7 linked regions of the Cricetulus griseus genome follow. The protein of the gene in region 7 interacts with the protein of the main gene of each other region in a pairwise test. Links are inferred from orthologs where the notes say so. Each region holds a gene or a part of one and is shown on either strand. Other genes may lie near its edges.

Evidence for each region.
Region 1: the proteins of Efhc2 (region 7) and Tssk3 interact in binary tests that used the Homo sapiens proteins (3 or more experiments, as listed by UniProt). The two-hybrid records come from large-scale screens. The link is inferred for Cricetulus griseus from reciprocal best matches to the Homo sapiens genes EFHC2 and TSSK3.
Region 2: the proteins of Efhc2 (region 7) and Clic3 interact in binary tests that used the Homo sapiens proteins (3 or more experiments, as listed by UniProt). The two-hybrid records come from large-scale screens. The link is inferred for Cricetulus griseus from reciprocal best matches to the Homo sapiens genes EFHC2 and CLIC3.
Region 3: the proteins of Efhc2 (region 7) and Cacnb4 interact in binary tests that used the Homo sapiens proteins (3 or more experiments, as listed by UniProt). The two-hybrid records come from large-scale screens. The link is inferred for Cricetulus griseus from reciprocal best matches to the Homo sapiens genes EFHC2 and CACNB4.
Region 4: the proteins of Efhc2 (region 7) and Ncdn interact in binary tests that used the Homo sapiens proteins (3 or more experiments, as listed by UniProt). The two-hybrid records come from large-scale screens. The link is inferred for Cricetulus griseus from reciprocal best matches to the Homo sapiens genes EFHC2 and NCDN.
Region 5: the proteins of Efhc2 (region 7) and Mapk9 interact in binary tests that used the Homo sapiens proteins (3 or more experiments, as listed by UniProt). The two-hybrid records come from large-scale screens. The link is inferred for Cricetulus griseus from reciprocal best matches to the Homo sapiens genes EFHC2 and MAPK9.
Region 6: the proteins of Efhc2 (region 7) and Spg21 interact in binary tests that used the Homo sapiens proteins (3 or more experiments, as listed by UniProt). The two-hybrid records come from large-scale screens. The link is inferred for Cricetulus griseus from reciprocal best matches to the Homo sapiens genes EFHC2 and SPG21.

What each region holds. Positions count from the first base shown.
Region 1 is NC_048595.1:23,554,558-23,558,572, reverse strand, and holds Tssk3 (testis-specific serine/threonine-protein kinase 3), read right to left. Parts: upstream 2,188-4,015; coding exon 2,043-2,187; exon of another isoform or gene 1,488-2,042; coding exon 826-1,487; downstream 1-825. Other genes in the region: protein FAM229A, read left to right, coding at 2,760-2,896, 2,974-3,120, 3,251-3,353. UniProt on the Homo sapiens protein: Serine/threonine protein kinase required for spermatid development and male fertility.
Region 2 is NC_048599.1:136,810,954-136,815,273, forward strand, and holds Clic3 (chloride intracellular channel protein 3), read left to right. Parts: upstream 1-1,603; coding exon 1,604-1,639; intron 1,640-2,379; coding exon 2,380-2,489; intron 2,490-2,567; coding exon 2,568-2,693; intron 2,694-2,827; coding exon 2,828-2,934; intron 2,935-3,019; coding exon 3,020-3,195; intron 3,196-3,275; coding exon 3,276-3,434; 3' UTR 3,435-3,459; downstream 3,460-4,320. UniProt on the Homo sapiens protein: In the soluble state, catalyzes glutaredoxin-like thiol disulfide exchange reactions with reduced glutathione as electron donor.
Region 3 is NC_048599.1:121,898,401-121,902,565, forward strand, and holds part of Cacnb4 (voltage-dependent L-type calcium channel subunit beta-4), read left to right. Parts: intron 1-1,863; coding exon 1,864-2,013; intron 2,014-4,136; coding exon 4,137-4,165. UniProt on the Homo sapiens protein: The beta subunit of voltage-dependent calcium channels contributes to the function of the calcium channel by increasing peak calcium current, shifting the voltage dependencies of activation and inactivation, modulating G protein inhibition and controlling the alpha-1 subunit membrane targeting.
Region 4 is NC_048595.1:26,291,247-26,295,411, forward strand, and holds the end of Ncdn (neurochondrin), read left to right. Parts: intron 1-209; coding exon 210-434; intron 435-839; coding exon 840-982; intron 983-1,951; coding exon of another isoform or gene 1,952-1,977; exon of another isoform or gene 1,978-2,032; intron 2,033-2,215; coding exon 2,216-2,652; 3' UTR 2,653-3,729; downstream 3,730-4,165. UniProt on the Homo sapiens protein: Probably involved in signal transduction in the nervous system, via increasing cell surface localization of GRM5/mGluR5 and positively regulating its signaling. Required for the spatial learning process.
Region 5 is NC_048600.1:64,342,125-64,346,289, forward strand, and holds part of Mapk9 (mitogen-activated protein kinase 9), read left to right. Parts: intron 1-2,671; coding exon 2,672-2,854; intron 2,855-4,111; coding exon 4,112-4,165. UniProt on the Homo sapiens protein: Serine/threonine-protein kinase involved in various processes such as cell proliferation, differentiation, migration, transformation and programmed cell death.
Region 6 is NC_048597.1:177,057,816-177,062,566, forward strand, and holds the start of Spg21 (maspardin), read left to right. Parts: upstream 1-1,801; 5' UTR 1,802-2,020; intron 2,021-4,751. UniProt on the Homo sapiens protein: May play a role as a negative regulatory factor in CD4-dependent T-cell activation.
Region 7 is NC_048604.1:122,142,882-122,147,698, reverse strand, and holds the start of Efhc2 (EF-hand domain-containing family member C2), read left to right. Parts: upstream 1-1,536; coding exon 1,537-1,713; intron 1,714-4,817. UniProt on the Homo sapiens protein: Microtubule inner protein (MIP) part of the dynein-decorated doublet microtubules (DMTs) in cilia axoneme, which is required for motile cilia beating.

The sequences.
Region 1 (4,015 bases), on a different chromosome or scaffold from region 7:
AGTTTAATTAACCTTTTGGTTGTTTGTGCAATATTATATATTTTAAATTATAATGCATCTCCCCAGAGTATTTTGTAGCTGGGAAAAGAAAAGGGAAAAAAAAAAAAGGAAAAAGAAAAATTCTAACAGCTGTTAGTTTTATAATTAAAAAGGAACAAAAAAAGTTTGTCCTGAACCTTTTACAGATTTGACATAACAGCATTAAAGTGATTGAACAGAAGCCAGAAGTGTCTGGGGATGTTTCTGTCCCCTTTGCAGCCATACTGGACCCATACTGGAAAGGCTTCTACAGCTGCAGCTGTGACTCCCTGCCTGGAGCTGGGAGCACAGGTGGGGTATAGCCTGGCTCCTGAGGCTCTGGTCTGAGAATGGGATGAGCCTGACCTTGGCAGCACAGGTGGGATATAGCCCGTCTCCTGAGGCCTTTAGTCTGAGAACGGGATGAGAACCAGCCTCTCAATCTCTGCATCCCAAATGCTTTTATTTGGGAAGCAAGTTGTAGCACCTGAGTGGTTCCAGTGGGTCATGTTCCTTCTCTCTTCTCCCTGCCCATGATGATTTTAGGGTCTAACTTAATGAACTTTAAACATCTATAAACATAGAGAACAATTAATAAAAGTCTGGGTGTAAGGCCCTTGGTTCCAGGAGGATTGTTCGAGGAAAAGATGTCTTGGTAAGGGGCCTATTGGGCCGCCTTGGGGAGGTGGGAGTAAGCTATGGAGTAAGTGAACTTAAAGGGTAAGATATATATCACCATTTTAGAAGCAGGTTTTTGGGTTTGCTTTCTCCCCCTACTTTATTGGGGAGGACTTGCCATTGCTTTTATCAAGTGCTTGCTAGCCATGGGTGCCAACTAACTTCTTCGATTGAAGGCCGGAGTATCATGTCTGGTTCCAGGAGCCGCTTGAGCAGGTCCTGGCATTCGGTTGAGATGCCCAGATGAGTGGGGAAGGATACCCCCTTCTGCTGCTGCCACAGCATCTTGGGGATATCTGTGTCATCAAAAGGTAGGCTTGCACAGAGCATTACATACAGGACCACACCCATGCTCCAGACATCACCTTTCTTGCTATCATGGGGTATGCCCTGTAGTACCTCGGGAGCGGCATAGGCTGTGCTGCCACAGAAGGTCTGGCTCAACTCCCTGCGTGACTTGGGTAGCACCTTGGCAAAGCCAAAGTCGGTCAGCTTCAGGTTGAAGCCCTGCAACAAGGCGTTCTCACACTTAAGGTCCCGGTGGGCCACGCCACAGCCATGGCAGTAGCGAATAGCCTCAACCATCTGGCGGAAGAGGGCCTTGGCCCGGCTCTCGGGAAGTGGCCCTCCGTTCAGCACACAGTCAAAGACATCCCCTCCCTCAGCCAGTTCCATCACCAGGTAGATTTTTCCGTCTGCCGACTCCAGCATCTCATACACCCGGATGATGTTTTTGTGGTCAAGGGTGCGGACGATCTGGAGCTCCCGAGGCAGGAATCTCTGGATAAACTCTTTGGGGGAAGCGGGGAGACAAAGGGGGCTATCAAAATCAGAAGGGTCTAATTTCCTCCCTCCTGACTCCCGTCTTCTGGCTTCTGGACACTCACCATTTCTGTCTGTCCCTCCTTGACTGCCTGAATAGTCTCAGATGTTCTAGCGGCAAGTATGACCTTTTATTATCTCAGGGTTAACTCACCCTTGGAACCTCCTCCCTGCAACCCATGAGACCACAGATGAAGGGGTGCTTGAAAACCAGACAAAGCTATCGAATCCCAGGGTTCTTCCCAGAAGCCCTGTCTTCCTGTCCCTTTCCCACCTCTTGGCACAGGCTCCTGTCATCTTCTAGCCAACACCTTCTGGGAAAGGAAAAACTGAGGCCCCTTTGCTTTGTGCTTTGTGGACGTGGGAAGATGCAATGATCCTGGATTTTCCACGTGCCTAGGGCTACTACAGACCTCAGGGCAGTAATCTGTTTACTGTCATTCTGACTAGAAGGAAAGAAGAACTGTTTGAGAAAAGCACCTGCCAACATTGGCTAGCCCACCCTCCAAAGGGCCCCAGCTCACCTTCTGGCCCTCCCATCTTGTCTATAATTTTAATTGCCACTTTTCTTTGATGTTTTTTGGAAAATGCTTCTTTGACTTTTGAGTAGGTCCCTTCCCCAATGGTCTTGCCCAGCTGGTACCCATTGGAGAGTAGAAAGTCCTCCATGCTGTGTAGCGCCTCCTTCTTGTCACCCTCTCAGCTCATGCTGCCTCTTCGAGGCAGCTCTACTCCACCATCGCCCTTGGCCTGCTTCTTTTCCCCCCAAGGACTTCATCCACAGCCGCCTCCAGGGCTAGAACATTCTCCGTCTGGACACAGCCACAGGTGGTGGGGAGGGAGAGGACCAGACATTTTTAAACTCCTGCCCAATTGTGATGTAAATGCTGTGTGACCCTCAGACAACATGGGCAGTGTCCCTACTTTCCCTCACCACCACCAGGAAACCCAGCCTCATTTAAGTCATTCATGAGTAAGGCACCGAGTGGTAACAGTGTCAGAGCAGGGGCCTGGGTGGCTGTGTAGAGCAGGGATGCGGGGCTTCTCCATGTGGGCTCGGTCACCCTCATCTCCGAAGTCTTCATCGAGCTGTTGGGGGATAGTGCAAACCGGTCACCAAGATGCAGTCGCCAGAGCCCTCCGGCTTCAGGCCCTCACTAAATGCCCGAATGGCCTGGGACAGCCTAGAATTCCAGCGAGAACAGGCTGTGTGAGGTCAGCACCCACAGACCGGGGTCACAATGCAGCCCTCCCCTTCGACGCCGGGGCCCCAGCGAGCAGCAGACACCTGCCAGGCTCCGCCTGGACCGGAGCGTCCTCCCGCGGCCAGGGCTCGGGCAGTTGCTTCCAGCCTGGGACCGGCCTCGGCCTCCGGCAGGTAAGCCACACACAGGAGGCGGCACGGGCAGGGAGCGCCCGGGGCCCCCAGGCGCCTGACCGCCACTCCCCGCGCAGAGTGCCCCGGGGCCTGGACATGAGTGCCCAGGAGACCCCACAGGGTCGAAGATTCCCCATTGAGGCCGGAGACTCCCCTGGCCTTGCCTCCGCCCCCGAGTCCCAGGACAGCCCGGAGCCTGTAGCTACGGATCATAACCCTGTCAGGTGAGGCCGATGCCCTGCCCCTCGGCCCCGCCCCATCGCCATCCCCCGGCCCTACCCTAGAGGACCCCAGGCGCGCCCCCCGGGCACGCTCCAACACTATGCGCCCCCTGTCGCCTGCCGCTTTCGCCAGGCCGCTCCGACGCTGCCCGGGCTGCCACTGTCTGACGCTGCTGCACGTGCCCATCGACGTCTACCTGGCCATGGGCGGGAGCCCTCGGGCCCGTGCCACCTGAGTGCGCCTGCGCACGGCAGCTCCGCAGGAGCCGGGCAGGACGAGGCCAGCCGCGGGCCACCACGCTGAGGTCGCACGCGCCGAGCACGAGACAATGATGCACATTTTAAAATAAAAGAATGATGCACATTTTAATAAAGCACAGCATAAACTGTTCTTTCCACTCCGGGCTGGCCGTGTATGTGTATCCGTCGGATTGGGCCCACGGGCTGCTCTGCCCTACCCAGTATCACCCGACTGTCCCTCGGGCTGCCTCCTCCCTCAGACCAGCCCTCCACCCATCTCCACTTCCCAGCCAGCTTCCCTCTCAACCTGTGGGTCTCCACCCTTTGAGGGCGAAGGATCCTTTCACAGGAGGTCGCTTAAGACCATTGGAAAGCCGGGCGTTGGTGGCGCACGCCTTCAATGCCAGCACTCGGGAGGCAGAGGCAGGCGGATCTCTGTGAGTTTGAGACCAGCCTGGTCTACAGTGCAAGTTCTAAGACGGGCTCCAAAGCTACACAGAGAAACCCTGTCTCGAAAAACCAAATATTAATAATAATAATTTTATGATTGCGGGTCACCATAAAATGAGGAAATGTATTAAAGGGTCACAGCACTAGGAAGGTTGAGAACCATGGCTCTAGGGGGTTGTCACCCTCTTCCAAGGAGGTTGCTACTCTT
Region 2 (4,320 bases), on a different chromosome or scaffold from region 7:
GCCAGCTCCAGTAGTTGATGGCTCTTCCAACCCACAGACTGACACAGGACATGTCCATAGCTCTGCTTGTAGCAGTAAAGATCCTTCATCCCTCTGGCTTGTTCCTTGAGATATGTTTTGTTTCTTTTCCTCCATGCCACTACTCATGTTGTTTATCCACGTCACCCTTTCCTGTGCATTTCTAAGGGCAGCTTTGTAAAAATATATAAACACAGGGCATGTCTGGTGACCACTTGGTTGGAAAGGCTTCAGGGCCTACAGTGGTGATCTGTCTGCAAAGGACAGAAAAGCACAAAGCAGAAATCTGACTCTGGCAGTGAGAAGCCAAAATAAAACTGGCTCTAGGAATTAAGAGGAGAGTCAGAGGAGAAACTGAGACTCTGGAACAAATCCGAGCCCCAAGGACATCAGAACTGCATTCCACCTGTCTGGGGGCTCAGCTGAGGTCAGGGAAGTGACCAGACAGGGCTAAGAAAGAGGGAAGCCTGGGACAGCTGAGGCACTGGCCAGAGTCTGGCATATGAGCAGGTGAGTGGGCAGGTATGGAGACACCTTGGCTGCTCTATCCAGCCTGGATGGCACCAAGCTACTAGAGAGGGGAGAGCAATCAACAGGTCCTCTTAGCCGTGGGCAGTGCCAGTTTTATGTGAGCGTAAGTTCTGAAGGCCACGCCTCCTGGAAGGCTGCCTGCACTCAAACGCAGGCAGAGACACAAGTAATGCCAAGGGAACTCACACTGTGGACCCCAGTGGGCTCGGGGAGACTGAGTGAGCGGCAGGTATGTGCTTTGTAGGCTCAGACTACCCTGGCCTTTTCCTTCCTGCTGGGTACTACATTCTCAGTTCCTCAGCCAGAGGTAGCAGCTTCTAACCCTTCCTGGGGCCATCTGAAGGTTTAGGTTAAGAGTAAGAAGCCTGCTCTGAGCCCATGTGAACAGGATGGGGTATGAAATCCTCTGCCTACCTGGGTTAAACAGCAAAACCAGGCTCATCAGACTGCCAGCCATGAACACATCAGGAATGTGGGGCTGCCCTGAAGGCAGAGGGCCCTACCTGACTGGGCTTTGTGGGAGGGAGTGGGCATCTCTTCCAGAAGAGCTTATCACACAGACTGGTAAACTGAGGCATTTCCCACTCATCCCTCTGCCCTAGATTTCTGAGAATAAGGACTTGACAATGGAGAATATGCTACAGGGGGCTTCGAGGCAGGCCCTGGCCTGAGATCAGTGTAGCATGGTTCTGAGGCAAAGCAGTGCCTTCAGGGCTAGTAGTAGCCTAAACCCCAGGTCTCTCCTGGCCTCTTCACCCTCCTGTCTGCATTCACCACACTGGCTCCAACACAATCATGCCGAGGCTTCAGTCTTTTGCTGTGAGCCAATTTCCTATACTTACAGCCGGCCCTGAGACTCAGGCTCCCTGTGGTCACTGTTATGCATGGACACCCTGGTCTTGTACAGACAACTGGCTTTGCCCTGGCAACCTAGCTGCTGCCTAGGTGGCTCTGTGGGGCGGGCCCACAGACTGGGGAGGGTGGGGCATCCAGGGAGACTTAAAGAGCTCCCAAGGCACACCCTGTGCTGCCGCCGGATGCCTCAGCTCCTACCATGGCCGAAACCACCAAGCTCCAGCTGTTTGTGAAGGTTCTGGGCAGGCTGGGCTGGAGGGGGTGTTCTGTTTTCTTGTACAGGCTGGGGGGGATGGGTTTTCCTGTGGGTGTTCTTCCCCTGTGGTGGGCTGAAGCTGCCCCACACAGAGCTGAACAGAGTCAGGCAGGTTGGGGGAGGAGCTCCCATAGCCGGGTGGGAGTGGGGGGGATCAGATAGCCAAGGTCTCTTCACCTTGGCTCCTGGACTTGGCCCAGCTCTGGGAGAAAGTCCCTTGGTGGGGAGGTATCAATCTGGTAGACATTTAGCTAGAGATTCAGGTTCATGTGCCAGATGGCCCCATTAGCTTAGGCCAGTGCTCCAGATCTGAGTGGGGGCAGGTCCTGGCCTCCTCTTTGGTCATTTCCCTGAGCTGAGCTGTTAGCTTCAATACCTAGTTGTGTGGGTTAATCACTTGGAAGATGACTCTCTGGCCTACCCCATCCTGTTGTCAATCTCTGTGCCTGGAACTCTCTGGTTCTGAAGAAAGCTTGTGGAAGGCCCCAAACCCAGGCCCTGTCCCTACCTGCCTTCAAGTTCCCAGCTTCCCTTGTTTTCCCCATTCCAGGGATCAGGTCAAGGGCCCTCACTAGACACTTGTAGATGCCATGCCCAACCATGCCAGAGTCCTAGGGTGCCTCCAGAGCCAATGGCAGTGGGAGGCAGGTTCCCACCCAGCCAGGTGTCAGGATTCCTGGGTCTGCTCCCAGCCCAACACCCCTGCTCCACCCACCCAGGCCAGTGAAGATGGTGAGAGTGTGGGCCACTGCCCTTCCTGTCAGCGGCTCTTCATGGTCCTACTCCTCAAGGGTGTGCCCTTCACACTCACCACAGTGGACACACGAAGGTGAGACACAGCCCTGGACCCCTCCCTAGCTTCTGCCCCGCTCAGGCCAGCCACCTCCCTTCTGCCTGGTGTCCACAGGGCGTTGGATGTGCTGAAGGACTTCGCACCAGGCTCACAGATGCCCATCCTGCTCTATGATGGGGATGTGAAGACAGACACACTGCAGATTGAAGAGTTTCTGGAGGCAACACTGAGGCCACCTGAGTGAGCACCTGGTGGGGCAGGAGGGCAAAGATGGGACCCCCTGGGGGTACAGTTGGGAGAAAACTTAGGAAGGGCACTTTGAGACAATGTATGTGAAGATCTGACTGGAGTTCTCAAACCACTCACACCTACAGCTTCCCTAGCCTAGCGCCTAGGTACAGGGAATCCATCACAGCAGGAAATGATATCTTCCACAAGTTCTCTGCCTTCATCAAGAACCCAGTGCCTACACAGGACAATGGTGAGACACAGGCCAGGAGGTATGGGCAGGAGGGCCAACCCAAGGAAGGCCAAGGTAGAGTCCTCAATGTGCCATTGCCCCTAAGCCCTGTATCAGCAGTTGCTCCGGGCCCTGACCAGGCTGGACAGCTACCTGCGTGCACCACTAGACCACGAACTGGCGCAGGAGCCACAACTTCGAGAGTCCCGACGCCGCTTCCTAGATGGTGACCAGTTTACCTTGGCTGACTGCAGCCTGCTGCCCAAGCTGCACATTGTGGATGTGAGTGAGGGACCAGCTGGTAGATGCGGGGAGAAGGGCCATCGAGCGAGGCCCCTCATCACATTCCATTGTACCCACAGACCGTGTGTGCGCACTTCCGCCAGATGCCCATCCCTGAGGAACTGTGTGGTGTCCGCCGCTACCTGGACAGTGCACTGCAGGAGAAGGAGTTCAAGTATACATGTCCACACAGTGCAGAGATCCTGGCAGCTTACCAGCCTGCTGTGCACCCCCGTTAGCACCCCTAACTCCATACACTCATCTGCAGCCCCATAAAGACATCCTGCCCCAAGTAAATGTGTCCTGAACATCTAAGTGGCCAGAGGCCCACAATTACGCCAGTCCAGTCCCACAGTGAGAAGCATAGTTCAAGATGACAGCCTAAAATGATGAGGGCAGAAAAGTCTGGTAGGCAAGGCACAGTTCACCTTCATCCATGGTGCTACAACAAAAGCCTGGAGCCCCCAACAGCTGCCCTGGGACAGAGGGCAGGGATCTAGGAGACTGGATTAGTCTCCCAAACCAGTCAGGCCAGAGCTGGGCGGGGTGCCCTGGATGGCCAAGAAGGGTGGGGAGCAGAGCGCCATGGAGCTCAATCACCGGGATCCTGGCCAGGTAGGTGGGGGCAGGCCTACATTCCTTAGTCCTGCCACAGGCTGAGAGCCAACTCCATCTCCTCCTGTAAGGGGCTTCCACTGTCTGATGCTCTATGGTACACATTCCTCAAGACAATTCTGTGCATCTTTGTATGGGACAGGTGTGACCTGCCCTGCCTGGGTGGGGCTTGGAAGTGTGGGACATCATTCCCAGCCTTATAGAGTCCTGGCCCTACCAGGCTGGGACCTTCTCAGCTTCTGGGCTGGCCATGAACACAATCAGTCTGAGAAGGCTTTACCCTAGATCTAGCCAGGAGAGCCTCCTGGATGCACAGAGCCTGGTGCATCTGTTTGGATCTTGGGGCTCCACACCAAAAGGGTCTTCTCTGGCCCCCTCCCCAAGGCCGATCCTCGCTAGTCAAGTCTGGACTAGCATTTCTACCTGAGACAGTAGTTTATTTGACCAGGAAGGCATGAGAGGTACTCCTGCCCAACAGTAGGATCAGCCAGTGGAAGTTAAGCAAGGGGT
Region 3 (4,165 bases), on a different chromosome or scaffold from region 7:
TCACAATGAAATCAGAATGGTTAACACTTCCAGCTCTTTAAACTTAAAAAAACAAAGTTTTCTGAGGTAGAGTGTGGCATTTTGAAACATGTATGCAATCCACACAGCCAAATCGGGGTAACTAATGCTTGCATCTCCATTTAGTTACTTTGTGTGTGGCACCTTCAGATTGCCCTGACAGTATTTGATGTGTCTTGCTGGTAGCTTTAGGGTCTGTAGCTCTTGATCAAGGGGTTTTCCTTCAGTCTGGCAGCTCCTTTTTCTTTTGTAGTGTCATTACTGATCTAGTAATCGTATGCGGATCAGAGCTCCTTGTTTTCAAGTCTTGCAGATAAAATAAAAAGCATCTTAGAAAGAGAACATACTAATCACTTTGGGGAAATCAAAGGCAAAATGAGGAAGGGTGGGATGGTGCTAAGGGGGCCTTTCCCGAAAGGGGGCTCAACCCCTGGGACACCAGCAACATGGACGGACATGCTTCCTAATGGGCCGACTTCTTCCTTTTATGCCGTCTCTCAGGTACCAGCACACTTTCTGTTTTCTCAATAATGGAAAGGCTTAAAGGTCAAGAAAAGACACAATGGTGCTTGTTCCAAAGTCAAACAGAGAGAACTGAAGCTCATGACTTTGCACAGCACCTCACTCCCCAGTGGCCAGAGAACTGTCACTCACATTGAGTCAGAGGCTCGGTGTTCCATAGCTGTTTCTTAGAACCACAGTAAACCCCTTTGGGAAGTCGAATTAGCCATCTTAGGCAGCAGCCCTTAAGTTCACCGGGGTACAACTTAACAAATTAGTGCCCCAGTAGGCTGACTTAATTTCAGGAAATAACTGAAGCCCTAGGAAACTCTGATTCATAGTCTGTTGTCCCTGTCACAGTAAAATGTAAACTCCAAACCTACGCACCAAAGTGTCCAAAAGGGTCCACTTGCCTTTTCTTAATTACAAAATAAGCAGGACTGTTATTTCAGGTGTATTATCCTGAATTAAAGACAGGAAACTAAGAGTCAGATTGTTGGAGTCTCTCTGTCACATCAACTCATGCTCCTTTCAGCTCAGTCTCAAGATGGGCACAAAGGTTGGCTTCTGCAGGGGCTCTGTGCAGAAAGGGCTGAATATGAGAAGGTTACTTGGGATTATCCGAATTACTTAGAATTTCATGCCGTGATGATTCAATGAAGCTTTCGTTCTTCCTTGTTACAATGTCAGTATTAGAGTTAATGTAAATTCCACTTTCCTCTGTGCTAATCCTAGAGTTGGTATGTTACATCACACACACACACACACACACACACACACACACACACACACACACACACACACAGAGGAAAAGAGTTTCTTGTCAATGCTGATAAAGACCATGAAGGCACCTTTGTACTCATTCCTGGAAGGCTTAAACAATATGATTTCTATCTATTTTCTAGAAATTACCAGTAGAAACATTCTCTTGAGGCAGATGGCTTAGACTAAACTGACATCTGCCCTGGGACTCAGTAAATCAATAATTGCCAATGTGATTTTGCTGATAATCTGAGTAAGACTGTGCTGACAGACTGTTAGCTCACTTACATTGAAACACAACCATGCTCTTGAGTCTTTGTGATAGTAGGACAGCAGAATCCACGAGTTACAGTAGAGATCATATTTACCATTCAGGCCATTGCAAATAAGACCCCTGAAGAATCTTCCTTTAGTCTATCAACTGAAAACATTTCCTACAAAATACAAAAGCACGGTGTTGGTGGTTTCTATGCACTGTATGTGTAATGTGGCTTCGTACATCAGGTGACTAGCATTTGATCCCTCTGCTTCCCTGAAATAAACACTGAGACGTGAGGTTAACTGAATTACTATTGATAGCAGCTTTCCTCTCTGCTTTCAGAAATATAACAATGATTGGTGGATAGGAAGGCTGGTGAAAGAGGGCTGCGAGATTGGCTTCATCCCAAGTCCTCTTCGGTTGGAGAACATACGTATTCAGCAAGAACAGAAAAGAGGCCGATTCCATGGCGGGTAACATCCCATCTTCTTCATGAGCTAGCCTTTTTTTCTTCCCTCCCTCCCCCTTTTGCCCCCCTCCCTCCCTTCTTCCTTACTTTATTTTGTGGGTAAAATTTCAAGTTTCTTATTAAAAACTGGCTGAAGCAGTTCATTCTTTTAACTTAACCTCTGTTTTCAGCTGGATTCTATTTTATCTTGGAAACATGCTCTTGAAGACTCTCTTTGCCTTCACCCCAATGAGAGCCTACTTTTAAAGCAAAGGGACACTTAACTGCACACATACTGTTCTTGAGGAGGACACAAAGGTTTGGGGTTCCATTGTGTTCTGAACTCCAGCAACTCAGAAATTCACATGAATTCCACAGTGGCAGCTGCTTCCTGTGGGCTCAGAAAACCTATCTGCAAACCCTAGTTTTCTTCTGTGAGAGTTACATGGGGCCTCATTTCTCAAGACAGCTCAGGTAGCAGCTGACATGACCAAGTGTTGTGGTTTTGCTTGGTTCTCTGTCAAAAGCTGTGTCCAATAAACTCAGAATGTGATGGTGCGGGACAGTCCTGGGCACACTTTTCTTTACTTGGTTTCTTGTGCCGTCATCTTCTGCTGACACTGTGCTGAAGACACTGGGGAGCTGCAATGTACCAGCCTCCCATGGTCAAAGGAAACAGCACACAGACTTCAGAGCGCAAGTGGCAGGTCCCAGGAGGGTGAGCAGTTTGAGAGAAGTCCTGACTGCATTGGGTCTCAGTGGTACTGCTACCTGCCCTGAAGCACAGATTTCAAATGTGTTAGCAAGTTTTGCTAATGTTATTGCTGTGAGACAATCTCGCTATGTAGTTCAGGCTTCCCTTTGGTGAGGCAATTCTTCTGCACCAGCCCCACACCCTAGTGCTGGATCACAACTGTGCATCGCCATGTCTGACTGAAGCAGTTCTTTCCTTTTATTCAATCTCTCTTTCCAGTTAATTTTTCTAAATAAAAAAAAATGTTGTGCTATTTAAGTCTTCCCTAATGAAAACCTTTCAATAGTAATGGAAGATCATAGAGGTATAGTTAAGCACCATTCTAATGATTAATCTTCTGTTAGGGTGTTTTATTATTAATCCTTTGGTTCCCTTTGCCCTAGACATTTCATTCTCTATGCTTCTTAGCACATCAGGAACACTTGGCCCTTCCAGGGGGCCTTTGCATTTCCTTCCTCCTACTGGGTACCTCTTCCTCCTTTGCTGTTACCAGATCACTCCATCTCCTTCAGGTGCTTATTGCCGTTCCAGTGACTCCTTCCTTCCCCACTGTATTTTAAGTTGTATCCACTCCAGACTCACCCTTTCCCTGCATTTCCATCTCTTTCCAAATAAATTGTTTCTATTATACTTACTACTCTCAGAAAAATTAGATTTTTACCTATTTCTCTTGTTTGCCTTGATTGTCTCCTACTAAAAAGTGTCTCAATAATCTCCCACCATTGTCGCTATTATACACACACACACACACTTTTTTTTTTTTTTTTACTTCAAGGCAAGAGAAACAATAATACCAAGGGCTCATTCACAGAAGCTAATTTGTCAGCTTCTCTCTGTAAGGTATAGATAACTCCTATTTCCATAGATGGGGAAAACAAACACCCAAAGATGTGTTGCAGTATTTTCCACAGGCAGTAAGTGACAGAACTGCTCATCATTGGGCTATAAACATACATGACTTACTATTGATAGCCCCATTACTGTTGATAGCAGGAAAAGTTTGTGGGACATCCCCGACCCCATACACTTAAGAAGCATTTCTCCAGGTCCTCTTGCTTGTATTGAGCTGTCTGGCCTCTGACTGGTACTTCAGTACTTGAATTCAGGTAAACACATATCTCCACATTGCATCCTTGCCAGGGGTCCTTCTGCCCAATTTTTGCACAAATAACAGGGAAAGAGAATTTGCCAAGCATTTCCAAGTCTCAGTTAGATCTCCACTTTCTCTGAGAAATGAGGTCAGCGAAATCATTTGAGCAGATTCCCGAAGCTCTTCTAACAAGCTTTGGTATGTTTTGAATTATTTAGTAGAAGGCCAAAGAACACCTTGGATTCTCAGTTTCTGTTTTCAAAGGATCTGGGGCGAGAGTCTTAAGTTTGTTTCCATGGTCTAGGAAATCGAGTGGAAACTCTTCCTCCAGTT
Region 4 (4,165 bases), on a different chromosome or scaffold from region 7:
TGGAAATGAGTCTCAGAGGCTTGAGAAGTACCTAGGCTGTAGTCATACCATGTGGCAGAGCCCCCATGAACTCTGGCCTACGTGACTGAGGTTTCTCTGCGGTACCATGAAAGTGTCCTCTTCCCCTAGCTTCTACATTTTTTTTTTTTTTTTAGTCAGGGTGCCCTTATCTCTTCCAATCTCACGTTCATCTGTCTCCACGTGCTCAGGCTCCTCCTGCCCGGCTGGTGTCACCTGACTGTTGAAGATGGGCCCCGGGAGATCCTGATCAAGGAAGGGGCCCCCTCACTTCTGTGCAAGTACTTTCTGCAGCAGTGGGAACTCACATCCCCCGGCCATGATACCTCAGTGCTGCCAGACAGCGTGGAGATCGGCCTGCAGACCTGTTGTCACATCTTCCTCAACCTGGTGGTCACTGCACCAGGGCTGATCAAGTGAGGGGCTTGGGAGAGGCTGGGAGGAAAGCCAAGGAAGCAGAGGGGCTGTCCTGTCAGCCCGCTCTCAACCTTCTCCTTAGCTTCCCTGTGTCTGTAGTTTTCTCTTACTGTTAGTGTAAGCAGGTTTCAGAACAGACAAAGTCAGTCCCACTCGAAGATGTGTTGTATTCAGAGCCCCAGGTATCTCAGGGCATGTCTGTCTGCTCCAGCCATCACTCAGCTCAGTCAGCTGGCATCTGACCAACCCAGATGGCAGTCAAAAGTTAACACTTCACCCTGCTGCGTGATGTCCTGGCAAACCCTGGTCAGGTGAAGCTAGAAACCATATGCCAGGTTTTCCAAAGGGCTTGACCGAGTCTGCTAACCCTCTGCCTGCCACCCCCCTCCCCCTTTTCTCCCCAGGCGCGATGCCTGCTTCACATCGCTTATGAACACCCTGATGACATCACTGCCCTCACTAGTGCAGCAACAAGGGAGACTGCTTCTAGCTGCCAATGTGGCCACCTTGGGCCTCCTAATGGCCCGGCTCCTCAGCACCTCTCCAGGTAAGCCTTGGGGACAGAATACATGAGTTCAGAACCTGAGCCCTCACTTTCAGAACATGGTGTGGCAGAATTTTCCCATTGAAAGGTAATTTCTACAGTATCGCTCCATCCTCCACCCCCACCCTTCCCAAAATGATAACAGTCTCTTCCTTTTAAATACTTTTAAGGCAAGGCCTGGTGGGTGTTTGGTACAGACCTGTTCAGAGTCACAAGCATAGGCACCTGGAATCCCTGGCAGCCTGGGAACTCTGAATCCCGCGTTTTCAAGGTGGAGCTGCCCCCACCCAGGCCCTGAGTCACAGGCGTGGTTTGCTGCATTGAGATTTTTACCACTTAGCACCCCACCCCACTCAGTGACACGCATCAGCTTCTCTCTGCCCTCCCTCCCTCTGGCTGTGTGCAGGGGGAAGGGCGTCCCCTCCAGCCCCTGACAGCCCTCAGTGTCTCCCACTTTGACCGTGGGTGTCTGCTTGGGTCCCTCTGTCCCCGCCTGTTCCCTGTGCCCCATCTGTCAGGTTGGAGGAACAGAGCAGATGCCTGGGAACAGGGTGTAATGTGCCCATACCCTCAGCTGCCTGTTTTTTGTGTGGGGATCCCAGCAGGGTACCTTGCTGTGGAAGGGGGAACGTATCCCTGAACTAGGAACCCCTTGCATTTAGCCCTCAAGGAGAGTCACTATGCTTTGGATCCAGTGCTGGGTCACCCACAAATGCTACCACACTGGTTGAACAGCTTCCTGGAGATCCAAAGAGGGGGCTCCTGAACCCCTGAATAGCAGATGGGCCAGAGCTGGGTCGATGTTCATCATCCCCTTTGGCGCCCTCTTCTGGCAAGAAGTCAAATTAGTTCATTCTCAGCCTGGTGAAGGGCTCTGAGCCCTCAGCTGCTTGGGTCCCTACTGTGGAAACCCCAAGGAAGGCTCTTTCTTACATCTGACATGAGGCTTACTCCTACCTCTTGTGCATTTAGAGGTCTTGATGATGGAGTGTACCTAGATTATTTAATTCTGACAACGTGTTGCTAAGATTGGCGTGCCACTGGCCCCATCTTAAAATGAAGAGACTGAAACCCAGAAAAGTTTAAACACCTAGTATCACACTGTAAGTGTTAAAGGTAGGCTTTGAACCTAGGCAATGTGAGTCCGGGTGATGCTTCTGCTCTCTGAGCATGGGAGGGAATTAGTCCAGTGTTTGGCCTGTCTGGTTCATACCACTGCCCTCTCCATTCTTTCAGCTCTCCAAGGAACCCCAGCCTCCCGAGGTTTCTTCGCAGCTGCCATCCTCTTTCTGTCACAGTCCCATGTGGCACGGGCCACCCCTGGCTCTGACCAGGCAGTGCTGGCCCTGTCCCCTGACTATGAGGGCATCTGGGCTGACTTGCAAGAGCTCTGGTTCCTGGGCATGCAGGCCTTCACGGGTTGTGTGCCACTGCTGCCCTGGTTGGCCCCTGCTGCCCTGCGCTCCCGCTGGCCACAGGAATTGCTACAACTGCTAGGTAGTGTAAGCCCCAACTCTGTCAAGCCTGAGATGGTGGCTGCCTACCAGGGTGTGCTGGTAGAATTAGCGAGGGCTAACCGGCTGTGCCGGGAGGCCATGAGGCTGCAAGCGGGTGAAGAAACAGCCAGCCATTACCGCATGGCTGCCTTGGAGCAGTGCCTGTCAGAGCCCTGAGGGGCATCCAGTAGGGATAGACCCAGGGGCGGGCAGCGAGGGAAGGAGGGAGGAGGCATCTTCCCTGAAGCCCCCAAACTGGACCCTTCTTCAGACTTCCCCTACAAACACCCCAGCTTTCTGGCTTTTCTGAGGGCTAGGGCATGATGCCCACCTCTTAAGTATAAGGAACTGCATCCTGCCCCCAGCCCCCTTGGGGCAGGGATTGGCTTGGAACAGAGGTTGGCCCCGCCAGGCCGGGGAAGGTTGGAGCAGCCCCAGAACGAGGGCAACTAAGTGTCATTATACCCAATGTCTGGCTCCCTGACAGAAGGGAGGTTCCAGGGTAGGAGCGGGCTGGCAGGCGCTGACTGCCTCAGCCTATGTGCCCTGCCGGCCAGGGCGTGGCCTCCCCAAGGCTGTGGTGCCCCTTCTGGCTCCCCAAGGTCCGCGCCCTTTATATTGGCCATTTGGTTCTTGCCTTTAGTCCTCTTGGACGGAGAGCAGGCTCAGGCCATTGACATCGCAGTTCTTCCTTTCAACTTTAGTGACCCAGGGTCCGACATGCCCCTGTCCTTCCAGGGCAATTTGGAGCAGGCAGACCAGTGGGGGGGTGGGGAACCTCTTTCCACCTGCGCTTCCTTGAGGGAACCCAAGAGCCCTTGGTCCCAGGTCTCTTGAGCTTTTGTGTCATGTTGCAGCAGAGTGAAGATGGGGGTTGGGGTTATTTATTTTGCTTGTCCTTATCCTTGCTTGGAGACCTGAGCATCAGATCCCTGTGCCCCTGGTGCCATCTGGCCTGGCTGGAGCCAGGAGCAGGAGGTTACACCACCCTAGAATCCGCATGTTTTCCCAGTGATTGCACTCCACTGCCACCGTGGTGCCTGGCTTCAGCTCCTCTACCCCAATCCCTGCTTAGACTCCTGCAGGGAGACGCGACTGGCGGCTCCAGCAGGAACTACCTTTCTGAACCCTTGGAGACCCGCATACTCCTGACCCCTTGCTTCACCCCACCCCCGCCCCCAGTGCGTTCTGTGACCGCCAAGTTCAAAGCTGTGTACATGTGGACACTCAATAAATGTTCATTGGTGATGAGAAGCCGCCTTTATGCTCTGACCTTCACCACTCTGCCTTTCACACTCTACACTCTCACCACTGTCTGCTGAGCCAATGTCCTTCTAAATACTTAGCTGATGCTCTCATTCATCTCTCCCAGGAGCTAGGAAGAAAGCACCATAGCTGTGGTTTTACAGGCAGGGAAGTCTTAGACACACCCTGCCCTAGTACAACAGGTTCATAAGACCAGATGTTGATGTCAGGCATTCAGACAGAAGCACTGTCTGTTTGCATCAACTTAGTTCCAGGGTCATTGCCATATCCTCCAATTAAAAAAAAAAATGTTATTAGGGTATGTGGTTGGGGTGGGGTGCATGTCCCATAGCACTCGTAGAGGTCAAAGGACACCTTTGGAGTTAGTTCTCTCCATCTTTGTGTGGGTTCTGGAGATAGACATTAAGTTACCAAGCTTATATGG
Region 5 (4,165 bases), on a different chromosome or scaffold from region 7:
TCCCAGCAATTGGGAGGCTGAGGCAAATGGATCTCTCTGAATTTGAGGCTAGTCTGGTCTACAGAGCAAGTTCCAGGACAGCCAAGGCTACACGGAGAAACCCTGTCTTGAAAAAACAAAAACAAAAAAATTACTTTTTCCAAAAAGTAAGAATAAATGAAAAAAGTATGTACTTTTGAGTATACTTTAATAATTTTAAATTATAATTAAAAATATTTTATGTGTTAACATGTTACAATAGTTGATGTTTTATATATAAGGTCACCCTAAGTGCTTTAAAGTTGCACAGAAATTAACATCATTTTCTAAAGAAAGTTTTGCTCACTTTTTCAAAGTTTAGATTGAAAATTTGGGTGCTATAGAAAGGCTCCAGAAACCAAGTTGAGGTTCTCTAGAGGTTTGCTTGTGACCTTGGCAGAAAAATAACTGCTCTCCTTACTGTGGCTTCTGAGAAAGAAAACACTTGAGCCTGGCCACCTGAAGTCCAAGTTCAGACGGCCTCTCATGGCAGCTGTGTATCTTGGAGAAATTCTGGTCTTTCTGGGCTATGGCTTCCTATTTTTCTAAATGAAAGACCTGTGCTCCATCCACCCAGAAGGTCCACCTTGCTTCTTTCCCAGGTAAAGCCCACTCCCCCACCCCATGCCACCTCCCTGCCACCATCTATCAAAATGACCCTGTAGCACTAATCCAGATATATATATATATATATATATATATATATATATATATATATAGAGAGAGAGAGAGAGAGAGAGAGAACCTACCCATTTGTAGGTGCTTCATCTAAGTGAAGTGTAAAAGATTCACTGCCAAGATCTCTTGAGGACAGTAGAAGCAGGAGGCACTGCTAGTCACCCAGAAAGAGATGGTGGGGCTCACACCAGGCCAGTTGGTTGGCCCTGGAGTCTTCTCCGAGGGGTAATCAAATGACTTTGTGGATTCAGAGTATCTAATCTATCAAGTGTGCAATTCAAGGCAAAGATTTGGAACAAAGAAAGGAATGTGGAAATCATTGGTTTGTTGATAGCACTGAAACCTTGAGCTGGTACTAAGCATTGAAGAGATGAACAAAGGATCAGGGATTAAGGAAAAGGAGGAAGGGCTCAGAACTTACCATTGGGTCTGGTGGTTGCCCCTGGCAACCTTAATGGAAACAGTTCTCCAGATGACTGGGGAGAGAAGTCTGATGAGAGTACATTTAGGAGAGGACAAGGACATAGGAATTAGATGCAGGTTATCAGTAAGCAGACTAGGGGTGTCACAGGAAAGTGGCTGTTGTTAACTTGGAAGAGAGCATCATGTCTGAATGATGGCAGAAGGTTCCAGTAGAGATCGAGTTTCGGGTGGAGCATCAAGAAATAAGAATAAGAGATACTTGTCCTTCAGTAGGTGAGAAGGGAAGGTAGATGGGCTTGGCTTTTAGCCAGAAGCCCAGATGGTTCCCAGTGGTAAGTGGCACAGAGATATGGGGGTGGGGGCATCATGTTGCTCTTAGGATTAGTCTTCACAGTGAGGAAGGAACATCAGGAAGAGGTGTTAAAAGTATATGGAGAGAGGGATAATATGGGCCAGGTTTCCTGTTTTGGCTAAGCCCCTAAATAAAACCTGTGCATAATCCTGAGTTGTCAAAGTGCATGAAAGGAGAGGAGAAGGAGAGCACCCAGGATTTCACTCTCTGCACCCATTTCCTGAGTAGACCTTCCAAATGAACGCTCTGTAAGACCTGAGTTTGTGTGACAGCCCTAGGTGATGTTCCAGGGGCATAAACACATATTCTGAGAAAGCCTGTCACTTTCCAAGCTCCTCTTATGTGATTTCATAGCCTGCATTGTCTTGTGTGACTGTTTACAGCTTCAGTGTCACTTTCCACAGACATTGTCCCAGTCACCCTAGGCCTAACGAGCACCCCTAGAGCTAAGCAAAGCTGGTGTCACCTGCATGTACAAGTGAGGTCGTCACTCCTAAGGACTGACTCCAGCAACCTTGAGAGTGTAGAACTCACTGACTATGAAACCGAGGTCATGTACATTGAAAGGAAGGAACAACACATCACTAGATGCTGAAGGGATGGGCTGGTGCTAAGTGAAACAGAATGGCCTCTGAAAGCATCATTGTCTAAGGCAGTTTCAGGAGGGTGTGTGGTCTGTGGGAAAGGCCTGAGCCTGGGCCCCTGCCCCTTCCCTCTGTATGCTTCCCGTGGTCAGCCTGTTTCGCAGGCTTTGCTGCCTAGCTATGAGACAGGTCAGATGGTCTCTCCAGCTCTTCTCTCCTTTAGAGACCTGTGAGTCTAAGGTAGCTTTAGTATGAAAATTGATTTCAGTTTGCTTATGTAACATTTGTTTATTTCATGTTTAATCATTTATATCATAGGTTGAATCATTTTTGTCATAATTTCATTTTGAATTATAACAGAAAAACTTATAGATTATGTTGATTTAATGAGCCATAATCATAGTCTTTAAGATGCAGAGAATGAGAGTTTTTGTTAAGTAATTTAAAAACCAAACCTTATTTAAATACTATTCCAAAATGTTTTTGCTGATCCTGTGGGGTGACCTAGTTACTTACTTGTCCACAAATATAAATATAATTTTACTTTGCATGATGGTACTGTATATGTTATGACTATGAAGCATTTCAGTTGTATTTTCCTCAAGAGAATCCTTAGATATTGATCAGTGGAATAAAGTTATTGAACAGCTAGGAACACCGTCTGCAGAGTTCATGAAGAAACTTCAGCCAACCGTGAGGAATTACGTGGAAAATAGACCAAAGTACCCTGGAATCAAATTTGAAGAGCTCTTTCCAGATTGGATATTTCCATCAGAATCTGAGCGAGACAAAATAAAAAGTAAGGTATTCTTTTATTCTATAATTGTTTCTCTAATGTTTGAGCTCTAAAACCCATGTATGTTAAGAACCCTGAAATAGCATCTCTTATGGTCTGACATTTGAATGCACCACAGAGTGAAAACTTAAAGACCAAGAGTCTTGACCTTGCTAAAACAAAGTAAAAAAAAAAAAAAAAAAAAAAAAAAAAAAAAAAGGCCAAAATTAAAATGTCCAGACCAATCTGGACAACCCTTAGGTTATGGGTTAGAAGATGCCTGCAAGTATGAGGACTTGGATTGTGTCCCTAACATCACACAGAAAGCCCACACATAGCTGCATATGCCTAGCAGGTCAGTGAGAGATCCTGTCCTAAAGGAATAAAGGGGAGAGCAATAGAGGAAGACACCTGACTCCCTCTTCTAGCCTCAGAATACATGGTAAAACACACACACACACACACACACACACACACACACACACACACACACACACACACACACACACACACGACTCATTGTGATGTCAGCAATCCAAATTCAAAATGTTTTCAAATGCAAAGAACTTCAGTTCAGTAAGTTCACTTCAGTAAGGATTCTAGACAGAAACTATTGAGTGTGGCCCAGTGAGAATGGCCCTTCCTGCCCTTCCATGCTCTTCCTAGACTGTGATCACCTGAGAAAAAACAATGGCTTTGTCTCCTCTACCTCAGGGTGAGCAGCACCTGGGTCAGGAAACCCTAGCCTTTCCTTGGTTGTATATTGTGAGCTTTTCATTGAGACCTCATTGAGCCTTCTGCTTAATTAAGTTGAGCTTGTTGGTTTTTTTTTTTTTTTCCTAACTACTAGCCCCTAGATTGAAAACAAAAAGTGTATACTGTCAGCATTGTATATGGCTAGGCAAAGCAGAGAAACCTCTGGGCTGTGGGTACTGGGAACATTTTTACATTGTTCTACTGTGACAGAAAAATACTCCTGGTGCTTCACGTCCATGCTCCTGGCAACACCACCCTAAAGAGGTGCTTGCTGTCTTGTCTCCTGTGCCGCTTAGCATTAGGTCATCTGGACACTGGTCTGAGGCTGCCACCTCTGCTGCTTCCATCTCCCATGCTAAAAGCCTGGTCTGTGACGGTGGCCATTGGACTTTTAAAGGTTGAAAGCTGTGATCTTGAACCCCTTAAACATTTCTTGAAGTCGGTATATTCACATTTGGATCTTTATTGTGTTGTTTCCTTTTTTCCGTGGTAGCAATGTAAATATGTCATTTGTTTGCACTCTAGCAAGTCAAGCCAGAGATCTGTTATCGAAAATGTTAGTGATTGATCCCGACAAGC
Region 6 (4,751 bases), on a different chromosome or scaffold from region 7:
ACACACTACACTCATGTGGACCACATACTCTCCCACACACACAATTAAAATAAATAATAATAATAAAAAATAAATAATAATAAAGATATATTTTTGGTTGAGTTGGGGGAAGAATAGAGGAGAGCAGGATGAGAGATACCATAACAGAGGGAGCCATTGTAGGTCCGAGGAGAGATCTGGCACTGGGAGATTTCCAGAGATCTCCAAGGATGACACAAACTGACAATCTAGGCAATGGTGGAGAGGCTACTCTAAATGCCCTTCCCCTATGAGACTGATGACTACTTTCTATGCCATCCTAGAGCCCTCATCCAGTGGCTGATGGAAGCAGAGACAGACACCCACAGCTATACACTGAACTGATCTCTGGAACCCAGTTGCAGAGAGGGAGGAGTGAAGATCAAAGGGGTCGGTACCAGGCTGGTGAATCCCTCAGAAACAGCTGGCCTGAACAAGGGGGAGCACATGGACCCCAGATGCTGTCTGGGAGGACAGTACAGGACTGATCCAGACCCCTGAACGTGAATGTTAATGAGGAGGCCTAGGCACTCTATGGGGCCCCTGGTAGTGGATCAGTATTTTTCTCTGGTGTAAGAAGGGACTTTGAGAGCCCATCCCACGTGAAGGGATGCTCTGTCTCGGCCTGGACACATAGGGAAGGGCCTAGATCCCGCCCAGGATGATGTGGTGGACTTTGGGGAGCACTCATGGAGAGCCCTACCCTCCCTGGGGAGTGGAGGGGGGAGGGGGGGCTGGTGGGAGGTTGGGGAGGGAGGGAGAGGGAGAAGGGATTGACATGTGAAGCTATATAAATAAAATTTTTTTAAAAAGATATATTTTTAAGTTCTCCTTAAAACACTAAGATCTTGCTATAAGATTCTTAAAATTTTTCAAACAAGATTTACAGATAATTCAATATGATCATACATTATTTCAGAGCAAAACTACTTACTGAAAGGAGTCATAACATCTGCACCCTCTTTTGTAAGAACAGTGATTAGAGTGAGCCTTACAGAAGAGGACCTGTGTCTGAGGGCAAGCCTAGTGTTGAGTATGTTCCCCTCAACATCAGCACAAAGCCGCAAAAGGAGACAGTTTGGACAGGAGGTCTGAGGAGGATCTCTGTAACTGTACAGAGAAAACTAGTTCTGTTGAGAAAAAGTATGTAGTTAAGAAGAGGGAGGAGATGGGAGCATGAGAGGAAGATAAAGACTAACAGGGTGATGACCAGAATACTTTATGTAGATATGAAAATGTCCTAATGAAGCCGTTATTGTGATTTAATTAACTTATGCTAATTAAAAAAGAATATATAGCCGGGCGGTGGTAGCGCATGCACAAGGCGGGAAGTGCGCAGAGGCAGGACGATCTCTGTGTGTTCAAGGCCAGCCTGGTCTACAAAGCGAGTTCTAGGACAGCCAGGGCTACACAGAGAAACCCTGCTTCGAAAAACCAAAACCAAAAAGTAAACCAAACCAACCAACCAAATACATCAAGCTCTATTCACCAAAGCTAGAACCCAAAGATGTCTCCCCCGAAGCACGAGCCACCCGAAAACTGAAGGCAGAAGCACAGACTTCACTGCCATAGCTTTCTCCTGGTGCTTATGTCAGACAGGTGACCTAGGACGGACCCTGACCCAACGCCAGCACTGGCGCCAGCTTCTGCATTGCTCCAATACATTTGCGCTCGGGCGAGCACAGAAGCTCCCATCCGGGGCTCCACGCCAGCCTCGTTGTCATAGTTACCGCCAGAGCCCCGCCCCTTCCTCGCTGTCCGGCCCCGCCCCTCAGAACCCGGAAGCGGGAGGCGCGCCCCAGGGAGCTACGGGATTCAGACCTGGGAGGCGGCGGCCTCTGGCTGCTCAGCCGCGCGCCCCCTCTACCTGCTGCGCCCGCGGAGCCTCTGCTCTGCAGCCGCCCGGCCCACCCGCGCCCTGCCGCCTGCCTCCGCAGCGCCCGAACCGGGCCGAAGAGCCGTTTGGGCTGGAGAGAAAGGGACGCGGGGGTGGCCACGGCAGGTGAGGGGCAGGCCTTGGAAAGCGGAGTGAGGGTGTGTGGTGCGTGTAGGGTTGTAGGTGGGTGTGTATCGAGCATGCGTGACTAGTGAGTGTCGTCCACGGGTGGGCCGGTCCTTGTGACCATGCACGTGATCCATATCCGTGTGTGTTTGTGTCTGTGTCTAAGGCCCAGCCTCGGTTCATTGCGGATGGTCGGTGTGCCTGTGGGTCCACTATTGTGTGGCTATGGCTATAACTAGTGGGACTCAGGGAGGCCCCAATGGGGGTTGGTGCCCAAAACCTTAACCGGACATCTTCATCTTCTTGTACCACCCAACTTGGGGCTGTGCGGCAGAAGCTCAGAAGCATTTGGTTTCAGTAAACTTTTAAGGACTGCGAGTAGAGGCCAGTTCTGGAGATCCTGCCTTAGACCGGGCATGAGGCTTGTTAGAGAGTCATGAGAAACATTGCAGGGCTAGCGAGTGTCTCGTTTTTCTTTTCCCAGGAAGTTAGTTGTTAGGTGCTGATGCAGTTGCTTTGTCTCTATCTGCAATTGTCCAGCTACTCTTCGTGCAAGGATTCTAAGGATTGGGAAGTCCTCTAATACTGTCTGAATTTTTCAAAAGGCATTTACAACAGGATCTTGAGAAGAGGTGTCAGAAGATGTCATGCAGGCAGCATCTCCTGTCATGGCATTTAGAGACAAGTGGATAGGTTCCTGGAGAAAGAGGGATGAATTTTCCCTGAAGAAATCGCCCCCGAAAGATAGCTATTTAATACATATGGGTGTGCTGGGGGTGGGGTGAAGATCTGCAGTAAATAGCCAACTGTGGTTCTTTGGGTGTAGTTTAGTGGCAGAAGCTCATGCTTAGCATTCCCGAGGCCATAGGTTCAGTTCCTGGTACCGATAATCATAGTTGTGTCACCTAGAGGCTTTCAAGGTCTAATGCTTTTTTTATTGGCTGTAATAATCACAGATTATCCCTATGTAAGTCCACTATAGATTGAGATAAAGGACCAGCCATATGTGACCATGTGAGTTAACATTTGTAAAGCTGATTTCCTCAGCTGTAAAGTGCAGGTTCTGCTGAGACTCCACGTGCATGCTCACATCCAGCAACACAAAGTCCAGAAAGGACCAGGTGTCCTCAGCATCCCGGAGGAGGGGTTTCCTTAATCATGATTAAAGCTTATCTCTGGCCCTTTCCTCACCAGCCTGAACAAGTGCTTTTGTTTTTGTAAAGAACTGAATCATGAGAAATCGCATCTGTGCTGAGCTCACCGCTCACATTCTTTTTTCATCCTGACCAGTTTGGTCACAATCTCAGCTAACTTTCTGGGCCATAGACACAATGTTTCTTTTGTGACTTGGAAAAGCATCCGACCTAAGTGGATGAAAGAGAGCTAGAACAAACTTTCCTTTTCATACTGCTACAGCTGCTTTCCCTTTGCAGCTTTTTTTTTCTTCTTCTTCTTCTTCTTCATAGCCGTCAGCTGGTCACATGCAACATTTGGTAACTGTCTCGCCTTTCATTACTGCCGAACTAGCACAAGTGTTAGGCTCACTTGTCTTTACAAACGTGTACTCACAGCTGGGCAAAATCTCTTACCCATCAAGATTAGTTATAACGTGTCCTGTTGCAATACTGAGGTAGTTGTGAATTATACGGAAGGCTTTTGGTAAGGACTACCTTCTACCCATTGCTATGGGAAAGAAGTGGGTGACTCGGGGTCCTTGTGTGCCTGCCTACGTGTTTGTGCTGTGGTTTGGTTTGTGAATTGCACCTGACTCTAAAACTGTGAATAATTTCTACCGTAAATGGGTTGATTCTAGAAGTAAACTTTAACAAATTGATTGAAGTTTTTGTTTGTGTGTCTGTTTTGAAATGAGGTTTCACCTATCACTGTGTAGCCCTTGCTGGCTTGGAACTCACTATGTACACCTTGAACTCAGAGTTCTGTCTTCCTCCTGAGTGCTGGGATTAAAGGTGTGCGCTATCATCTGGTGGTTTCACATATTTTTGATATTCTCTCCTACAGAAATTGTTCTAGAAAATGTCTTTAGTTGGTGTCCTAGTGTAAAGTATTTCAGAATTAACTGCTAGTTGCTTTCATTTAAAAAAAGTAGTAGCTTAAGGGAGACAGAAGAGGTAAATTGACTATATTACATTTTGCATGAAACTATTCAAATAATAAGAATCTCTAAAAGTTGTTAAAGTTATGATATAAAAATAGTTTAAACATCTTAGATACTAAACTTGTTAATATTTAAGATAAATGGATTTTGCAAAGGATTGTGTTCTTTGTTTTAGTGTTAATGACTGAATCTGTGCACGATGGTTTCAATATAAGATTGATGGTAATTTACTTTGTGTTTTAAAACAATTTACAGTTTTAGCGGGGGCGGGGGGGCTCTGCTCTCTGTGAGTTAGAGGCCAGCCTGGTCTACAGAGTGAGTTCTCAGTTGGGGATACACAGTGAAATCCTTTCTCAAAAAAAAAAAAATTACAATTTTAACAACCCTCTCAAAATATTTCCTTTGCTTTGAGATAAGAGACCACTATCCTATCAGCATTGTAATTAGAGTTTTAATATTGGTCTGTCTACATTTACTGTCTCCTGGAAGTTCAGTGTAGTGATTCTCAAAGGTAGCAGACCAGTGTTGTGTCCCTGTAGAAAGAGGCCAGAGAATGAGGAAGGGTTCCATTAAGTTTAGAATTCTCTGCCCCTTGCCAGGCCAGAGAGCTTTTTC
Region 7 (4,817 bases):
AGGGTCTCACTCTGTGGCCCAAGTTGATCTGGAAGTTGCCATGTAGCTCAGGATGGTCTCAAACTCTAGCCTCCCAAACGCTGGCATTTTGGATGTGTCATACCAAACCCATTTTCTCTTGGCTTCTTTAACTGACCTATTTATGTGGCATTTGTCCTAGGGAGTGAAGGATTGCCAAACTTTGGCATTATGTAATTCACCTTCAGAATTAAAAATAAAGCTATGTGCAGTCCAACATATCCATTATATACTTAACAACTCTGCCAATTGAATCCCAATAAAGCTAAATATTTTAGATCCAGTTGATAAAAGGGGAAGTTCATAGTAAGAAAAAAAGGAACAAAGTGGTGTCCTTAAATTTGATGCTGAGTCTAGGGCCTTCTTTTGTTGTTGTAGTTGCAAAGTGTTTCAGAAGCTCACGATGAAGTCAGTGTTGTGCTGTCAAACTGAGACTTTTCCTTTACAGAAATGGAGAAGATAGAATGGAAATCTGTCATCATACTTGGAAATAGGACCTCAATGTTATCGTGCAGGGATTTTTTAATGGTGCATTTTAAAAATTAAATTTATTTATTATTTGCCCTCCATTCGCTCCTCTCATTCCCCTCCCCAGCCACCTCTCCTCTTCATGCCCACCCCAATCTGCTCCTCCCTGTTTCTGTCCATGGATGTCAACAAAACATGGAATATCAAATCACAGTAAGACTAAGTAAGCACTTCCCCTTGTGTTAAGGCTGGGCAAGACAACCAACCCAGTGTGAAGACTAGGTTCCCAGATTCCAGGTAAAGAGTCAGAGACAGCCTCTGATCCCACTGTTAGGAGTCCCACAAGAAGACCAAGCTCCACAACTGTCACTTATGTAGAGAGCCTACATCAGTCCTGTGCAGGCTCCCTGGTTGTCATTTCAGACTCTTTGAGCTCCTGTGAGCACAGGTTAGTTGTTTCTGCGGGTTTTCTTGTGGTGTTTTTGACACCCCACCTCCCCAGTGTTTCTACAATCCATCCTTCCCCTCTTCTATAGGATTCCAGGAGCTCCACCTAGTGTTTGGCTGTGGCTCTCTGCATCTGTTTTCATCAGTTGTTGGATGAAGCCTCTCTGATGACAATTGGGCCGGAAACTAATCTATGAGTATAGCAGAATATAATTAGGAATCATTACATAGAATTTTTTTGCCAATCATGTTTGGTTCTATCCTAGGTCTCTGGGCCATCCAGCCTCTGGGTCCTGGCACTCCAGGCAGTATTAGGGGTAGGTTCACTTTTGTGCCATGAGTCTGAGGCTAGACCAGTTCATTGCTTGGCCACTCCCACAATTTGTGTCACCCTTACCCCAGCACATCCCATGGGCAGGACAGACTGTAGGTCAAAGATAAATGGCTGGGTTGGTGTCCCAGTCCCTACACTGGAAGTATTGCCTGGTCAAAGGAGATGGCCAGTTCAGGCTATGTATCTGCTGTTGCTAGGAATCTTAGCTGGGGTTATCCTTGTAGATTCCTGGGAGTTTTCCTTGCATCAGGTTTCTACTTGACTCTGAAATGCCACCCCCATTTCCAGTCAGTACTCTCTCTCTTCATCCACCTCCAACCAGATCCCTCACTTTCCTATTCCCACTCACCCACTCATACCCAGGAGATCGCTTCCATTTTCCCTTCCCAGTGAGATCCGTGCATTCCCCCTTGAGCCTTCCTTTTTTACCTAGTCTCTCTGGGTCTGTGGATTATAACATGGTTATCCTTTAGTTTACAGCTAATATCCACTTAAAAGTGAGTACATACCATGTCTATCTTTCTGTGTCTGGGTTACCTCGGTCAGGATGATTTCTAGTTCCATCCATTTGCCTTCAGATTTTCTGATGTCATTGTTTTTAACAGCTGTACCACATTTTCACTATCCATTCTTTTTTCTTCTATTTTTTAATTTAGAAACAAGCTTGTTTTACATGTCAATCCCAGTTCCCCGTTCCCTCCTACCCTGCCCCCCACTAAACCCCTATCCCATCCCCTTTCTGCTTCCCAGTGAAGGTGAAGCCTTCCATGGGGATCTTCAGAGTCTGACATCACTATCCATTCTTTAGTTGAGGGGCATCTAGGTTGTTCCCAGGTTCCGGCTATTACAAACAATGCTACTGTGAATGTAGTTGAGCAAGTGTCCTTGTGGTATGATTGAGCATCCTTTAGGTATATGCCCAAGAGTGGTGTAGCTGGGTCTTGAGGTAAATTTATTCCCAAGTTTCTGAAGTACAGGGATTTTTATAAAATTTTAAAACAACTTTAATAATATATTGTTATTCCTTGATAATTTCATACAAAGTATCTTCATTAATTAACCCCCTAACTCCTCCAACAACTCCTCTGACATTCACCCCTCCTCCTCCCTCCCCCACTTCATGTCCTTTTTCTTTTTGTTTTCCATTTTTATTTAAATTAGAAACAAGATTGTTTTACATGCCATTCCCAGTTCCCTCTCCCTCCCCTGCCTCCCACTAACTCCCAATCCTATCCCCTTTGCACACCAGGGAGGGTGATGCCTTCCATGGGGGATCTTCAGAGTCTATCATATCCTTTGGAGCAAGGCCTAGGCCCTCCCCCATGTGTCTAGGCTGAGAGAGCACCCCTCATGTGGAATGGGCTCCCAAAGTCCATTCTTATGCTAGGGATTAGTACTGATCTACTACAAGAGGCCCCATAGATTTCCAAGGCCTCCTCACTGACATCCTCGCTCAGGAGGTCTGGATCAGTCCTATACTGGTTTCCCAGCTAGCAATCTGGGGTCCATGAGCTCCCTCTTGTTCAGGTCTGCTGTTTACATGGGTTTCACCAGTCATGGTCTTGACCCCTTTGCTCATCACTCCTCCATCTCTGAAACTGGATTCCAGGAGTTTACTTCAGCGTTTAGCTGTGGGTGCCTGCTTCTACTTCATCAGCTCTAGGATGGCATATAAGGTCAATCTCATTATCAGGGGAACGCATTTAAGGTAGCACCTCCACTGTTGCTTAGATGGTTAGTTGGGGTCATCCTTATAGATCTCTGGACATTTACCTAGTGCCATATTTCTCTTTAAACCTATACTGGCTCCCTCTATTATGGTATATCTCATGTTGCTCTCCTCTATTCTTCCCACAACTCAACCTTCCTGCTCCCTCATGTCTTCCTCTCCCCTACTCTTTCTCCTAGCTCCCTCTCCCCTACCCCATGCTCCCAATTTGCTCAGGAGATCTTGTCCCTTTCCCCTTCTCTGGGGGACCATGTATGTCCTTTTTTTTTTTTTTTTAAGAAGATTCTATCTTGAAGCAGATGTTCTGGTCCTGTTGATCTCACAGTTCCTCTGCCACCTCTTCCTTGATGTTGCCTGAGCCTTAAGTGTAAATGTATTAACCCGGGACAAGCACCCATGATCAGTCGATCTGTGCGTTTTGACCAGTTGTGGTTTTCTGCAATCCCTGTCTGCTGCACAAAGAAGTTTCTTTGATGAGGGCTGGAGCTACATTTATCTGTGGATGTAAGAGCAAGCATTTAGAATGCAGTTAGAAAATTATACTTGTTTAGTGAGGTGGAAGTATTAGGTTCTCCTTTAGGGTCTGTAGTCTTAGATATGAAGTTCCATTGAGTGGACCTTAAGTCCAGTTAGGTGACTATTAGTTAACCCTGGGCTATCTAAGTACCACTATATTTTTTTAAAGTTTTTTTCCGTAGTTTGGGGAATAGGACCCCAGGCCTTATGCCCAAGGCAGACACTCTACTACCAAGCCTGAGACAACCCAGCTTGGAAGGAAGACATCTTAGTTCAGGTAGACATGGTAGGATTTAATCTGTCTCAAGAGCCTCATGTAACCAACATGGTAGTTGCATCTCTTACAAATCTGCCATCTTCAGATGATCATCTGCTTTTGAGTCCATGCTACCAATCTGTCTTCAGATGTGTTACATTATCTGGCCTCTGTGTCTTAGCTTTGACTGTGAGCTTGACACAGATTAGAATCACCTGAAAAAGGATTCTCAATTGAGGGACTTTGTAGATAAGCTTGGCATGTTGGCACATCTGTGGGGGATTATCTTGATTGCCTTACTTGATATGGGAGAGCCCAGCCTACTGTGGGCATTGCCTAGGCTGGCAGTCCTGGGCTTTAATTGGAAAGCTAGCTAAACATGAGCCAATGATTGAGCAAGTCAGCAAGCTATGTTTATTGCTTATGCCTTCAAGTTCCTGCTTGAGTTCCTGTCCTAACTTTCCATATATGGACTGCGACCTAGAAATGTAAGCCAAATAAACCCTTTTCCTCCCCTAGGTTGCATTTGGTCAGAGGATTTTATTATAGGAACAGGAAGTAAACCAGGATAGCCTGAAGCCCTTGGGAAATCTTTAATGGCTCCTCCCTGATTGTTTTACCCAGATCAAATTTTAGTTTGGGCAGCCATTTAATGTATCACTCGAGGTTTTTGGACTTCCTAGATCTGTAGCAGTATTGTATTAAGTAGATATACCATAGCACCAGAATTTAAAAAAAAATTGTCATATATGCTGGGTATGGTGGAACACACCTCTATCCTTGCTTCCAGAGCAGCTGGGGCAAGAGGATCTCTTGAACCCAGGAGTTTCAGGTTGGTCTGGATAACATCCTTCCGTATATGTGCACTGCAACTGAGATCACAACCACTCCAGCCTCCCTGCTTTCCACGGCTGCATATGATCCTGCCTCAGCTGCTTGGTCTTGTGAAATGCTAGAGTATTGGATGTTCAGGAAATTAAGGTTGACTGTGGAAAGGACTCCCCTCCAGTGATGCAGCTTCCATGAGGCATCACTCATATCAGGGTAGG